Nothobranchius furzeri: one gene and its partner. The main gene of each other region encodes a partner of the protein of the gene in region 2 in a complex. Links are inferred from orthologs where the notes say so. Each region holds a gene or a part of one and is shown on either strand. Other genes may lie near its edges.

Region 1 (7,852 bases), on a different chromosome or scaffold from region 2:
ACGCAGGATACATTAGTCAAGCTGTCAGATGAAAGCGTTGGCATGTCTTTTACTGATGATGAGGAGGAGGAAGAGAAGAGCAGAAGCTACGAGGGTGTGTGTTTGTAACAGCCTCAGAGTTTAGAGACTTGACTCAGAACAAGTAACTCTCAGGCCTCACTGAACAGGTTAAATTCAGGTCAGTAAGAGCCATTCACCACAAAGTTAATCTAACTCAACATAGCCTGCGATAAAACCTTAGTGACTGGAGTAGTTGTGCACAAACAAGTCACAAAAATGTAATTTCATTTTTGACAGAATGTCCTGCTCTACAGCCAGAGGCAAGAAGATGTCTCAAATCCAACCAAAGCTGGCTTTTGTGAATAAATCATCATCTGTGGAGCCTCGTTTGAACAGATACAAACTAGGTCAAAGGATCTGAGCTGAACATTAAACTCTGATGAGCACAGAGCACCAGGGAGGAGCAGTGGGGTAAGACAGGGTCTAACAACGAACCCGTGTTTCCTGACCGAAAGCTCACGTTGCATTCACCGATAAATAAATGGGATTATTCCATTTGTAGTCATTTTATATTAATCTTAGGGATAGCAGGCAGCTGTCAGAAAACAGCTGACATGTATTATCTTATGTAACAGGGGGACATCATTTATCCTGTTTAGAAGACAGGACAAAACACCCTTTTCTTGATGGATCTTTTACCCCCCCGAAAATCCTATGTGGCTACACACTGGCTTATAATAGAGTACATCTCGATCAGTGTACAGATTTATACTTACGATCGAGTCCATTTATGTACCGGATTCGTATTTCACAGTGTCCCCACACGGCGCTCACCACTGGGTACAGCTTTTTGCCTTTCAGTCCTTTAAATGCCACACCGAGATAATGTCCATCCACTAAGTAACCAAGAGTCCCCTCATCCATGTCCAAGACCACTAAGAAGGAGTCTGGTATGATGAAGGCGTCTTCTGGCTCGAGGAAGGCTGGGTATGGCTTTCCTGGCACATTTTTACCGTCGTGGTAGAGTTTACTCCGGCACAGGTCCCAGCCCCAGGACTCGGCGTTGCTTCCTACCAAAGCTGTGTAACCCACAGAGTGCAGCGGGGCGTCACTTGTTGCCACTCCAACCACCGCGTGCGTGCCCCTCTGACGCATCGCCCAGTTGATCTCCCACACGTGCAGTCCCCTCGTGTAGCCAACGCGTCCCCGGATGGCGTCCGTGCTCTGTGCCACAGGGTGCCTATGAAACACCAGCTTGTTGTCATCCTTGACAAAGACATTGAGGGACCGGTCATTGTTGTTCCATGAGTTTTGGATCTGGACATCTGGGCCGGCGGGCGGCATGTCCAGCAGCAGGTCCAGTCGAGACGGCTTGGTGTGACTCAGGGCCTGTAGCTCCAAAGTCAGGGGGCTGAACGCCGGGTCCCGCATGTCAATGGTTTTAATGCCACCTGGGACTTTCTGCCCCATGCTCCAGGTGGTTGTAGAGCTCCTCCTGCCCCACCTCCTATTCCTCCCCCCTCCTCAAAGACAACTGGGGGGAGTGGTGAGCCTCAGACCTTCCTTCTCCACCGTGCTCCAACAGCCTGAGATGCAAGTTGATCTGCCAGCGTTTGACGCAGGTCACCAAAGTAAGACGAGGGAAGTTTTAAGGCCTACCTGGAAATTTTACAAATGAAAGCAGATAAAAGATGTTAATAAAACCGACCAGGCCTTCTGCATCAAACTCTTACTAGCCTAACATTACAAACAGTTATCATTTAAAAGGCAGCAACATAGAACATCAGCTGTAACTAAATCAGTCAACTGTAACTAAAAATGTTATGGTACATGTTCATATTATACAAGCACTGAATCCAGCTCCTGAGTGACAGCTGGAGATTAACTTCAGGCCTCTGCTTAGCCTTTAAAGTGTTTTTGTTCTCATGTGATTTTCAGAGTTATGAAAATCTTAAGTGTCTTATATTTTAAACCTAACGTCATATCCCAGAACAGATTTATATTAAAACCAGGAACATACTTATGTGTTGAGCAGCTAGAAAAAGTAAATCACATGGATGTGTTCATTTCAGTTTTTTCCAAAGTGTTGAACTATAATCTGGAAAAGCATGGCAGTATGGCCTTGCTTGTTGCTTCTGTCACTTAAATGTCAAGTTAAGCCAACCAAGACAGACAAGAACAACAAGTTTCTATTATCAGTGAAATGTCGGTTCAAGTATAATAGACTGGATTATTGACTAAATAGAACAGCCTGTTTCAGATTTAACTTAAAGTGAACAGTCTAAAAACGTCTTAATCCAGTATTACCACCATTTTATAATGTTCTATTAATCATCTGTTAGCTTGATGAGAGTCCCAACTTTAGGTCAACATTTACCCCAAATGGACACACTTGACTGGGAGTCAAGACACTGTCTCGAGATAAAATACCAATATAAACCAAATTTTACTTTATGCTTTAGAGCAATAAGTCAGGAGTTTTACTTTTGTAAAATTTGGTTTTCCCTAAAATAACCAGGGGCAAAAGCTTGATAAATTAAATTAGTATGATTTCTCAGATGGTACTGATATGGTTTCATCACAACAGGACTGTTGACATTAACACTTTTTTTTTACAAGAAAAAAACTCAAAGCTTTGAATGAATCCATCTTCATATTTTCCTTGTAAGTGATTCTTATGCTGCTTCTCTTGATAAATCAGAGACAAGAAAAGATAAGAATGTTTATGACGTCAGCTGATCATCAAGGCTGCAATAACAAGCTTGACACACTGGCCCAGGTATACCAGGGGTTCATGGGTTATGCTTAAGAGGAAAACACAGCTAGATTGAGGTAAAACCTCAGCGTCACAGAAATTCAAAACCTATTAAAATAGATCACACCTGTATTAAGCAGCAGTGTTTAAATTATGGGAAATTAGACCCCACTTGTTAATATAATTCTATAAGCATCGTTTAAAAAAGAACCGTTATTGTACAGAAACGTATTAAACTTACCACCCAAAGTAAAACCGATTTAAAATAGAAAATTAGTCAATGACAGATGTTTTTTGGTCACTGTACAGCAGTGACTACAAACAATGTTGTGTAACATGGAAAATTGTGCTGCTGGGAAGGCCACTCTAATTAAATTGTAGACAAGAGTTCATTGAGCAGTGCCTTGGCTCTTCTTCTAATGCAAGTAAACAACCATTTAAATGGGTCATGTCTCGTCAGTGATTGGAAAGCAGGAGAGAAGAAAAAGCCTGCAGTGGGTGGCCAGCATCTAAATGTAAATAATCTCCTTTTCAATAGCTGTCTGGCGTTCAGGAAGAGTGAAACATGTTAATTTGCACAGCCTTTGAGCTGATACTTCACAATTCTTCCTCCCCTTACAAGACGCAAAAAAATCAAAACAGAAGAATAAAAAGTGATAGTTTTAAACAAACATAACCTTTAGAAGTATGAAAAGGTTTCTTGTGGAGGATAGTGTTTTGGGGGCTAAAAGCCAGGCCTGGGCTGATCAGGGTTCCTGGGGCCCTGGGTTGCTTTGAAGCTGATTGAAATGCAAGAGGAAGGGCTCACTAGATCTGCTGAGCCACAGAAGCACTTGTTTCTCATTTAAGGCTCAATTTAGACTTGGCCCACCTGAATTAGCTGCTTGTTGACCAGCAAAACAAATGAGTCGATGCTTACTAAAAAACCAAGTTTAGTAGACTCTTTCACATGCTTTTGTCTGTTTGATCAGGAGCAAAAACATAACCCGTATAAAAACAGTGACCTTCATAATGTTTTTTTTAAGTGAGCGTTCTGAGGTTTATTGTGTCGATTAGCCGTTTTGTGTTAAGCAGCTGTGGTTTTAGGAGTCACTTTCAGTCTACCCTCAACACAGAGCATTGAAATAACACCAGAACTCATCGTTCACGTGAGGTTAAACGAATGTTTAGGTTTAAAAGTGAAACATTTGAGTCAATGTTGGCACAGGCCTGAACAAATGTCCTTTCGTTGGAACACAAAAGGAAATTCCTGTGGAAAACAAAAGGTGTTAGCATCTTTAGGCCTACTAGCCCATGAATTGAATTGAACGTTAGCATAATCGGGCCGGAGGCTCTCGCGGGCTCCTCCGGACTCGAGGGCCATCCACGCGCGGCTCGGGGCGATCTGCTGTCGGTGTGAATGCTGCCCCAACAGCTCGACTGCGTTTAAAACGTTCGTTACACGAGAAGAAGAGAAACATTAAGCGTCGCTGTGTTAGCAAAAACAAGCGACATTAAGCTAACGTTAATGTGTCGTGGAGACGAAAACAACGCGGTAATTAATGACTGCGTCCACAATGGACATCCGGACAGTCAGAGCCGTTCACAGCTGCTGTTGTTTGACACCAAACAGATGAGAACAGAAACACAAAAAGGAAAAACAAACGCATCGGCAGCCACATTAATGAACGTAAAGAACACAGACAGACCTGGTAGATGAGGAGGTGAAGTAGAGACCAGGGTTCCGCTTCAGTGTTTCACTCTACTTCATCGTGGTTCCCCTTTGCCTGGTCGTTCCACCTTTTTACCGTTAGAGCCCGACATGAATTAGGTGAATGGTGATGACTGCTCAAACATCACTCGCGTCACGTGGTCAAATGCTCCCAGCTGCTTCAGCAGATTAGGACCTCCCCGCGAATCTGCAGCCAGACGGCCTGTTCATGAGGGTGATTTCCGGTTTGCGTCTCTCTACAAACAAAAATAGATAAACAGCAAACTACCTAAACATTTGCAATGATGTTTAATACCAGACAGAAAGGATAATAATGAATAATAATACACTGATTCGCTTGGGTTATTAAACAAACCTTTTGTTCATTTTCTTTCTAAATTTGTGAGGGAAAATATCTCATAAAATCCACTTTTCTGCACAGAGCAACTCTTGCCAGCATCTGACCTGAAATCTAAGGTTACGTGAGTCAAACATGATTAAACTGTTTAATGATCTTCTTGGTTTAGTTTTAGTTTGTTTCCACATCAGTCAGTCTTGTCTAGAGAAGATCCAAAACCAAGTTGTTGAAAGGAAAACTGATTATTAAAACCTTCTAGTCTTTTACAAACACACAAACATCATGTGATCCATATATACGTAATATAACCACACCTGTTCCAGCACTATTTTGTAACTCAGGCTGCCGGTTAGACCTTCTAGTTTCTGAAACAGTGACCTTTGTGAATTTAGTAAGCGGAGGGGATCCACATGGAACACTGCTGTTGACTTAGTCATGCTGAAGTGCCAGACACACTGAACCCAGAGAAACATCCAAATCATCTTATTGAATTGGACTGAACGGGATGACTCACGCTGCACACAACCTTCATGTTCAGCTGGATCGCTGATACAGTCACTTTTTATCTGCTATGCTGGTATCTTAACAAGGAGAACTCCAATACAAAACAAAGTTCGATCGTGAGTGGAAGAGAAATGAAATAATGACCTACGTGGATGACTATGACCTAAATAGTTTTGCTGGAAGAGAACCTATGCAGCAAAATTCAGGTGAATGCTAGAAAAACTAAGACACTGTTGCCATCTAGTGGATTATATGAAACACACACACACTGCCTGAGCTTCACCCTGAGACCCCACCACCACCACCACCACACACACACACATGCACTTGTGCACACGCTTACACACCTCTGAACACATTCAGAGTTAATATTTAGTTCTTTAAAAATACAATAAATGTTCATTTTTATTGTGAGCGAACAGGAATAATGAACTGATGTTTGGTTAAATGTTCTCATTTCAGTGCCCTCTCACTCTCAGACCTCATGCTCATCTTTGCATTTGTCATATAAATTATCTGTGGCAGGCACTGGGATTAAATAGACCTTTGAAAATGACCTTATTTGTCCAATGTGCAAAGCCTCTGAAGGTAACTTGACTCATTTTACACCCTTGATGAGGAACATGGCTTGGCGACTTGAATTACCTTCCACTCAGCTCGTCTCCCATTGAAAATCCCATTTTCCCATGCAGAGATGGTGCAATGTGCTGAGCTTGGGGATGTCTCAGGACCACTCCACGGCAGAGGAGGGGCATACAGACATGCTTACTGCCTCCCTTTTAGAAACCATGGTTTCAGCAGGATCGATAGTACGTCCCACTCCACGACTGGCAGAGTGCGCTGCCTTTATGAGGGGGTTGGGGTGTGGGGAGGTATGCATGGACAGCTGCAACTAAAGCAAGTCTGAGCAATGCATGCAGTCAAGGTGAATGATCGTATGCTGCATCAGACACTCTGCTACCCGCTTGCTCTCAGATGCAGTTTGTGAAGAAGACCAGAGGGTGGATGCTGCCTTCAAGTGGTGGATGCAGTTGCAGGCAGCGCACGGATGAAGCTTTTGAACTGATCTCAGATCTAGTATCTGCACTGACTCACAAACAACAATGAATAAAGACGAGCAACAAATGCATCTTCAGGCTACTTTCATGAACTCATTGACTGTTTTTACATAGATTCATGCTGGAGGTGAGAAGAAAATCTATGGTTTCAGTGTTTGGCGTGTAATCTAAGATGTGCACAGTTCAGCTCTGTAACGGAGATATCCTTACTCAGCAACAAAAACCATCGCTTTTGGTTCCTAGTGGAGTTAAGGAAATCATTCCTTCTAGGAATCCTCACCAGTTACTGTTTAATTGATGTGGTCAAGAACAAAATCTAATAGGTTTTCTACAAAATATTATACAATTTTCTTATTTTATAGATAAATGAATACATAAAATAGTAAAAATGTTTCACAATTTTCAATAATTTTAAATCCAATATAGTTTTTTTGGTTTGGACAAACTAATTAAATAGATTTAAACAAAATAAGCTGAAAATGCCCACTTTTGTGAACACAAACGTGCCCTTTTATTTAAACTGACTTTAAATATTCAACAACAAAATAAAAATATATTAGTTTTCACTCAAATCACTTCAAATAAAATCCATGCACTTCCGTTTAAATCTTCAATAAAATTAAAACAAGCTGAATGAGAAGAGTATTGGTGTGTGTCCACTCACTCTTTTAATCGTTTTCTAGTGTTTATCAGATTTTTAAATAGTGTGACTTTAAGCGGAGCTTTTGCTGGTTTAGAGTAAAAGCGCATCAGTTAAGGGAGGTGAACCACTGCAGGGCAGAGGGATGTGGACGGGACAGGATGTGGTGCAGTACAAGCATCCCCCACTGCTCAGATCGCTGCTCATTTGTCAAGTCGCCCGCAGACTTGAATGGTGCATTGCTGCTGAAACACAGAGAGGCAATCAGCAGTGGAACAGCACACCTCATCCAACTAGGAGGGGTTCGAGGTGGAGGAGCGCCTCCTTGGCCCACATGCAGATAAGGCTTTTTTTATCCACAACGTATGCTCAGAAACCGTTTAGCTGCTCATTAATATGTTTGGTTAATATGAGGGAATATACTAAGCTCTTTGTAAAACCTCAAAAACAATAAAATGTGTTTGAAGTCACAGGCGTAACGCCAACAGAAATAATCCAGGAGGCCGGCGGACTCTTCCCATCCGTCACTCAGCAGTTTGGCTCATAAACACTCGGGTCGAGGTTCTCCTCCCTCCACAAAGCAAAGAGAGCTTCTACGTCCAGCTCAGCAGTGGGCTCATCAAAAAAAATCTACTATCTTACCTCCAGTCTGACTCATCAGGTAAAAAAATGAAATGGAGCTGGACATAACTGAGGTGCAATTAAAAACAAGATGTCACATCATACGCTACAATCTGCCCGTATCCTGGTAAAAAACCAATTGTGGAGGGAAATCCTGTAAAAGAAAACCTGGGGGAAAAGATTCTTGTGGCATAAAATCAGATTTTATTTGGTGGATTTGCTGTCT
Region 2 (7,986 bases):
ACAACGAGCCTCGTGATTCACCGTTTGAGAGTGGTGTGATCAACTGGAAACACGATGACGTCACAACCCAAACATCAAAGAACGGAGCGCTTTTGTTTGCACATTCTTGTGCACACGTCATAAGCAGGTCAGAGGTCAGCATTGGCAACAATGCCCTCCGATGTGAGGCTGCGAGCATGGAGGGAGAAAGGAGACATCCTCCTGGGTTGACAGAGGTGGTAGTGGTTGATGCAGATCAGAAGTACCTTTTTCTCCAGTGGAGTAGAGAGCTTTTATCGCGCCATTATGGCCTCAACAGGCAGAAGATTGGGTTCCCTGGATGCTCTGAAATCCCTCTCAGACGCTTTTATTCTACACAAAACGAGTAGGGAAGATAACCCCAGGCATCTCTATTCACACCTGTCCACTCATGCTCACATCACAAAGGGGGCTTGTGTGAGTCAGTCTTCATTTGCATAGTTTAGCTCTTACCAGGAGAAATAGAAACATCTCAACAAGGGAAAATGGATGGAAGCAACGTTATGTTGTTTCTTGCATGACCCAGTAGTTTACAATGAGCCTGACTGATGATTAAAGGTGCAATAAGTAAGAATTTTACTGGGAAATTATCAAAAAACAGTCCAAGGTCTTAATCAGTTTGGAAGGAAGGTTATATTTAAACAAATTTCCTTCTCAGCCGGCTGGGGTTTGTGTTAGCTAACGCTGCTGCACCGGTATATGCACGTCAACACCGGCTGGCAGATTGCAGAAGCGTTTTAATTAGAAGCGAAACCAGTAACAGGGGCTTAACCTCAACGTTCTCACAACCCCAAGAAGCCACGGCACCTTTCGGTTTGACTCGAAGATCGAGGAAAAATGTTAGAGGCTAATGCTAGGTAATGTGGGGCAGCAGTAGCTCAGGTGGTAGAGCGGGTTGCCTCATGATCGGAGGGTCATGGGTTTGATTCCAGCTCCCGCCAAGGGTATTCTGCTGTTGTGTCTTTGGGCAAGACACTTCACTCAACTTGCCTGTGTTGGTGGTGGTCAGAGGGGACGACGGCACAAAATGGCAGCCTCCCCCCCAGGGCGGCTGTGGCTACGTAGAAGCTTACCTTCACTGGCAGTGTGTGAATGTAAGAGTGCATGAAAGCGTCTTTGAGTGTCCTAACAAGCGCTACATAAGTTTGATGTATTAACATTACTAACAGTGAATTACAAAGAAAAATATCTCAGGCTACTTTTTCCATCACCAACAACAAGATATTACAGGCACCAGCAGCAGCTTAGCAGGTAGAGAGGGTTGTCCAGTAATCGGAAGGTTGTAGGTTCGATCCCAGCTCCGATCAAAGAATGCTGCTGTTGTGTCCTTGGGCAAGACACTTAGCCCACCTTTCCTGCAGGTGGTGGTCGGAAGGACCGGTGGCGCCTGTGCTCGGCAGCCTCGCCTCTGTCAATGCGCCCCAAGGCAGCTGTGGCTACATCGTAGCTCATCCCCACCAGTGTGTGAATGTGTGTGTGAATAGGTGAATGATGGATTGTGTTGTGAAGCGCCTTGGGGGGTTGTAGAACCCCAAGAAGGTGCCATACAAATACAGGCCATTTACCATTTACTAGTACCATGAATACAAAAATGTGTTTACGTATCGTGTATGACTCGTCTTCACTTCTCACCTAGAATCTTCTGCCGCTGAGCCGTAAAACAGCCATGAAACTCACAGAACAGTGAGTCACTTGTGTGTTTTGAAAATGGACCGTAGTACCCAAGTTTGACCACAGGATGTCACTCTTACATCATGCACCTTTAAATTAGATTTTTGGGTTTCATTTCTGTTGTCAAGATTGGTTTACTAATCATGATTATGTGGACTACCAAAGAAGAGGAAGTGGTAGTAGTAGCCGTAGAAGAAGGTCGTTTCACAAAATCAAATAAATTTAAGTATAAAAAGATTTAAAAAATGATTAGAAATATGTGTGAAAGGAGAAAAGAAGAAAATGCAAGGAAAGGGAGCGAGAAAATGAATAAGAAAGAGGGAAAGCAATGGATCCCAGGAAAGGTGGAATAAGAACAGAATAAGGAGAGGGTGGTGATGAAGGTCACACCAAAGCCTGAACAAGTGAGTCTTCAGCTGCTTTTTAAAGGAGACCACTGAGTCCACTGATCTCAGGCTCAGGGGGAGAGAGTTCCAGAGTCTGGGGGCCACAGCAGCGGATGATCTGTCACCTTTGGTCTTTAGCCTGGTGCTGCACAACCAGTAGGCTTTGATCACTGGACCTCAGGGACCTGCTGGGGGTGTAGGGACTAAGAAGATCACCAATGTAAGATGGTGCTTGTCCATGTAAGGCTCTATAGACCAGAACCAGGATCTTGAAATGAACCCTGAAGTTGACTGGCAGCCAGTGAAGCTGGAGGAGAAGCGGGGTGATGTGGGTGTGTTTGGAGGACTTGGTCAGAAGCCGAACACAGGCATTCTGAACCACCTGTAGACGGTTCAGGGAGGTTCTGCTCAGACACGTGAAAAGAGAGTTACAGTAGTCTAAGTCTTTAGGAGCACCTAAAGTACCTGCAAATGTGCAAAGTTATGATCTGTATCTGAGCCGAGGAGGAAAATGTGCACGTGTCTCCTAATAAAGCTGAACAAGTGTTTCAAAGCTTGTTGCACAAATGTGCTCCCGCTGGTTTAGTGAGGGGTTATGTAGATACACACAGTGTGCTACTTACTCAGATCAACGTGTTCCATTCAGGATGTGCAAAAGTTCACCTCAGATTTCCTAAATTATAGTCCGTCCACAAACTTTACCACACAGACTGCTGCCTATGGAAGTCATCGGACTTATCTGGGAAAAACCAAACATGCCCAGCGTCCCACCTCTGGCCTGAGACCAGTTCTCCAACAGTCCTTCATAACAGGATGTAGAGCCAACTGCAGAACTGGTCCACCTCCAAGTCCTGATGCCCAAAGGCACAGAGTCTTGGGTGGCTGTTTAATTGGGCCAATGGGAACGTTATGGACCACTTCTACAGAAATACCTTCAATAATAAGGGGGAAAAAAACTCATTTTCAACATTTCTGTATAATTTAAGAGCTTTTAGAGTGCGTGAGTACATTATCACTGTGGTGGCTCTCACTGGCACCGCTTCAGATCCGAGTTGCTGCGAAGCGTCGGAACTGCAGGAATTAGGAGTGCGACATGATTTAAATTCAAAAACAATGAGAGGCACAACCGCCTCCAAACACTTCCAGAAGCCGCCAACTCCACCCCCTTCCCAGGGCTGCTTTTCATTTTTCTCTCTGCAGAGGGGCAATTAAACCAGACACATGCATGAGAGGAATCTGCAGTCTCTTAGGGGAAACGAGGCTGCTCTCAACCTTGTTTTTTGTAGTTTCATGGGGGAAATACACACTGTTCCCTTCAGGTATGTTCATAACATCAGCAACACTTAATAAAATCAAACCTAGAATATAAAAAACAGTTAAGAAAGTAAGACATTAAATCTGATTTTCAGACAATTTCCTCAGGTGACTCTAATATTTTAGGAAATACTGATAATTTGACACATTTCCCCTTGGATAACCTTTGACCTGACCCCTGAAGGTCCTCTCCAAGCCCTCCTGAAGGCCAGGGCAGACTTAACTTTTATTAAAGCTTTCTTGTCTCTTTCTGAAATGAACTTTTGCTGGATGATTGCCAACCTTTGAGACAAGCATCCACCATTTAATGCAGTTATTTAAGAATTACTTTATCTTGTTCACTTTCATCCAAATGTTGCCTCCAGTGATGCAGCTTGCAGCAGGAGCAAGATCTCCTGAGGATGAACACTGAAGCCCAGCTGGACTGACTCACCTCGTTGGAAGGTATGTTCACCACACCTGTTGATCTCCTCTTTTCCCTTAGCTTCCTCTTCTCGATCTGCCCTTTCCCTTTCCCCTTCCGTGCACTGGGACCAGAGCTCTTCTTCTCCTTGCCCTTGCTGGGTGACGGACTCTCCTTGTCGCTGGCGTTGCAAGCCATCAGACTGGAGTCCGGGGACGCGCCCGGAGCCTTGTCTGGCTGAGGCGGGGCCTTCTTCAGGTTGCTCGCCGGGGCTGAGGGTGCCGCGGGGTGGTGCGCGTCCTCCTCGGGTCTGCTCGGAGCTACGCCGGGGCAGGAGGGGGTGTGGCAGTTCGCAGCAGAGGCGCTCCAGTCCGGGCTGCCGGTGAGGTCCGCGCCGGGAGGAGCTCCCAGGCGGTTGTTGGCGCTGGGGCTCAAGGGAACTCCGGTGGCTGCAGCGATGTCACCCAGCATTTTCGCCCTGACTTTCTCGCGTTTCGCCTTCCACTCCTCCAGGATGTTTGTGGTTGGGTTCGACTTAAATCCGCCCGTGGCCATGAGGATCCCTTGATGTGTAATTATTTGTTTGTTTGATTCTGGAGTTAACTTGAGGTGGAGAGGCGCACAGACGTGAGTTTACTCGGCAGCTCCCTGGTGACACCACATTCCTCACGCGATTACCTCTGGAGCTGTTGACAGGTCGGAGGAAAACAAGGTCAAGTCAGACCGAAACGACACTTAATAAAAGCTGTAAGCTCGTTTTTTATGGCCCTGTTTGTGTCGCGCTCAGCTGGAAACGCACCACTAAGTTTCTTCGCTGCTGCCGCGCACTTTTTAGTTAACTCTGTCTTCTCACTAAATAACACCCGCAAAAGTTGATGAAAGCGGGATAAACTCGGCGGAGAGACTCACCTGGACGGAGCGGAGCGGCTTCCAACTGCTCTTCTGGGTCCGACCAGGTGTGACCGCTTTCGGCTCTGATGAAAAGCACTGGGAGCCGCTGTGGGACAGGACACGAGCCTGGGAGCTGCGGCACTTCCGGTGTTGTACTGAAAGATGCACCCGCGCTATGTGGAGCGCCTCAGCGGCGCGCGGGGAGCGCGCGCGCGATCTGACTGATCAAATAAACACCCAAAGTCAGAAGTCAGTGTTTAAATAGGGGAACAAATTGTTGTTTTTGTACCGTTGCGACGCACAGGTAGAGAAAATGAGTCTGCTGCTCTGGAGACTCAAGTGGCTCTAAATATAATAATAATAATAATAATAATTATTATTATTATTATTATTATTATTATTATTATCACAATAATAATAATAATAAGTATTATTATTATTATTATAATGACAACAACAACAATAATAATAATGACAACAATAATAATAATAATAATAATAATAATAATAATAATAATGAAAACAATAATAATAATAATAATAATAATAATGATGATGATCATAAAATAATAATTATAATGACAACAATAATAATAATAATAATAACAATAATAATAATGACAACAACAACAATAATATAATAATAATAATAATAATGAAAACAATCATAATAATAATAATGATGATGATCATAAAAAAATAATAATGACAACAATAATAATAACAATTATGACAATAATAATAATAATAATAATAATAATAATAATAATAATAATAATGATGATGATAATGATAATATTAAACCCTCATAAATATATATAATAAAAAGGGAGGTTTAACCATCTTGGAAGCAGAGGCCATATTTAACCAGTTTTGCATGTTAAATCTTGCTCATTGCCTAAATCTTAAACTATTTCCAAAAAACCAAAAGGCTTAAGATGAACTCGTGGTGACACTGTGTCACATCCAATTTCAAACTTGCTTCTTGCGTCATATTTTCAAGTTTGACAACTCCAAGTGACATCCTACACATACAGTATATCAAAAATCATTTTACTTCTTTATTTTAATTTATGTTTTTCTACATTTTTATGTATTTACTCCAATCAGTTTTTTTTTATCTCAAAAGGGTTTGGGTCCTTAAGGGTTACATTTTAAATAAAAAAAATGTACCAACAATGTTTTATGTTTAAAAGTAAAAAAAATTCACAAAATCAAAATTGAAAAAAATATATATACATTTTGTTTTAAAAAGTCTTGTAGCTTCTTATAACTCTGCTTATTAAAAAGCTGGAATAAAATCCTGGGTTAAAAGGCCAAAGGTCTCACAAACAGAAACAGACTAAAAACAAAAACTTTCTTTAAAAATAAAATAATAAGTTGATCAAATACATTGTTTTATAGACTTTAATGATAGCAAACAATGCTCCATCTGTTCTAATCCATAGACACAGTCCTGGAGGCGTCTCCGACTGGAACCGTGCATTTTTACAGATGATATGTTATTATTTACGATAGATGGTGGCATCAGTTTTATGGCCTAGCATGGCCCTCTGGTTAGTTTGGTTTTATTTTGAATTTCTTAACTTTCTTTCACACCTAGAAACAAAGCATTTAGTCTGATTTCCTTTCAATGATTTAGCCAACAGGAGTTATAATATAATGTAGGGTAATACTAGTGTACATTTTCAAATATTAATATGATCAACGTACATTATTTTATAAAAAGATATTTTCTGTAATTTATTCAGTTTACCCGAGTCCACGCTTCAGTCAGATACGGACTAAAACACGAAAGGACAGCTAAATATTCACAAGTTGCAATAAACGAAGTGCACAGGATGCAATAGACTTTATTTTCTGTGGAAGTTTTCTCCCACATAATTTCATAGTTATACTTTGACCTCCCTAACAGGTCTGAATAATCACTTCATGTAGTGATTTACCAGTAATCGACAGCGCCGTTTGACAGAATGTCAATTCCTGGAGCGGTTTAAATGTTTTTGTTGTTTTTCCGTGATTTTTTAGCTAACGGTTAGCTTCTACTAGCCGATGCGTGATCTGCTGTTTCCTTGACGCTAAACCAACACCCTTTCCCGTTGTGAGTCAAGATGGGTGAGTCCATGAATGTTGAGTGACAGTGTGACGTAGATCTGTCGGGCTTTTCTAATCCTAGAGTTTCACGTCTATTTTCTATTTGAAGCTAATGCAGGAGATAGGTGTAGGAGACTATTTTCATGTTCAGCCTGCATGAAAACCTCAGAGTGGCTGACTACAATCAGAAGTAATCATAAAATGTGTTTGTCAGTGTAGGGCTGCTCGATTATGGCAAAAATAATAATCACGATTATGGTGACTGAAATTGAGATCACGATTATTTAGGACGATTTTTCAATTTATGTTGATTTTATTTGTTTTTATTCAGTCATAAAATTGCTCAAGGCACAATCAGGACAAAAATAAGAAACAAGATGATCACTAAAATAACTCCTGATTCCCAGGATAAAAAGACCAATATACTGATAGCTCATAGTCTATGACCCAAGGGCTATAGACCTTGAGTCTAACCAGTACAGACCCAAATACCAATATCTTGCAAATACTGACAGCAAGAATTATACAGTGGCATTTATAACAAATAAATGCAAATAAATTGATGTTCACAAAATGTTGCATAACATTTATTGAGTCGTGTCAAGGTGCTGTAGGTGAGTGCACTAGCACCGTGTCCTCAGAGAGGTTAGTTATTAGTTATCAGCGTGAGGAACTTATTTCTACCTTATTTATAAACTATTTATTTACAAGTCCATCAGTTAATGTAATAATTGTCCCAACCACAGCTGCACCCCCCACCCCCCAACCCGGTCTCACAGCAATCAGGGCAAACCGCACGTGTGTTTAGCGCGCCGCACGCGCACATTTAGCCGTTTTTAGAGGCTCAGGAGTCCGCAGGTACGGTGTGTGTCACTCACTCTGGTTAATCCAACAAGGAGCCGACTCCGAGAGCCGTTTCTTTAGCAACTGACACATCACTACATAATTCCCTTTCCTAATGTCCTGAAAAACGGTCCGGAGCGCAGGTGGAGTGTTTAGCTAACCTGCAGGAAATGTCGACGACAGTTATCCAGAAAGTAGCTAAGGGTTACCAGAGATGTTTCTGAGATGTTCGCCAGGTACTTTTAGGATTAAAAAGTCAAGAAGGGGGTCTGAAAAGCTGCTAGAAATAGCGTCAAAGTCGCTAAGTTGGCAACACTGTGGAGGAGCGCTTCATTTGCAACTCAGGGCAGCGCAAGCGGGAGGAGC

What was found. The genes of interacting proteins can lie anywhere in the genome.
Region 1: the proteins of pawr (region 2) and spsb1 are in contact, whole or in part, in a crystal structure (PDB 2JK9), measured with the Homo sapiens proteins. The link is inferred for Nothobranchius furzeri from reciprocal best matches to the Homo sapiens genes PAWR and SPSB1. Residues at the interface, in NP_001341661.1 of Homo sapiens: Glu68, Leu69, Asn70, Asn71, Asn72, Leu73, Pro74; in NP_079382.2 of Homo sapiens: Arg77, His78, Pro79, Val80, Ala81, Gln82, Gly110, Thr111, Tyr129, Val216, Trp217, Gly218.

Annotation. Positions count from the first base shown.
Region 1 is NC_091755.1:28,614,351-28,622,202, forward strand, and holds the start of spsb1 (SPRY domain-containing SOCS box protein 1), read right to left. Parts: upstream 4,673-7,852; 5' UTR 4,444-4,672; intron 1,660-4,443; 5' UTR 1,471-1,659; coding exon 777-1,470; intron 1-776. UniProt on the Homo sapiens protein: Substrate recognition component of a SCF-like ECS (Elongin BC-CUL2/5-SOCS-box protein) E3 ubiquitin-protein ligase complex which mediates the ubiquitination and subsequent proteasomal degradation of target proteins.
Region 2 is NC_091741.1:40,727,459-40,735,444, forward strand, and holds the start of pawr (PRKC apoptosis WT1 regulator protein), read right to left. Parts: upstream 4,842-7,986; 5' UTR 4,702-4,841; intron 4,479-4,701; 5' UTR 4,348-4,478; coding exon 3,823-4,347; intron 1-3,822. UniProt on the Homo sapiens protein: Pro-apoptotic protein capable of selectively inducing apoptosis in cancer cells, sensitizing the cells to diverse apoptotic stimuli and causing regression of tumors in animal models.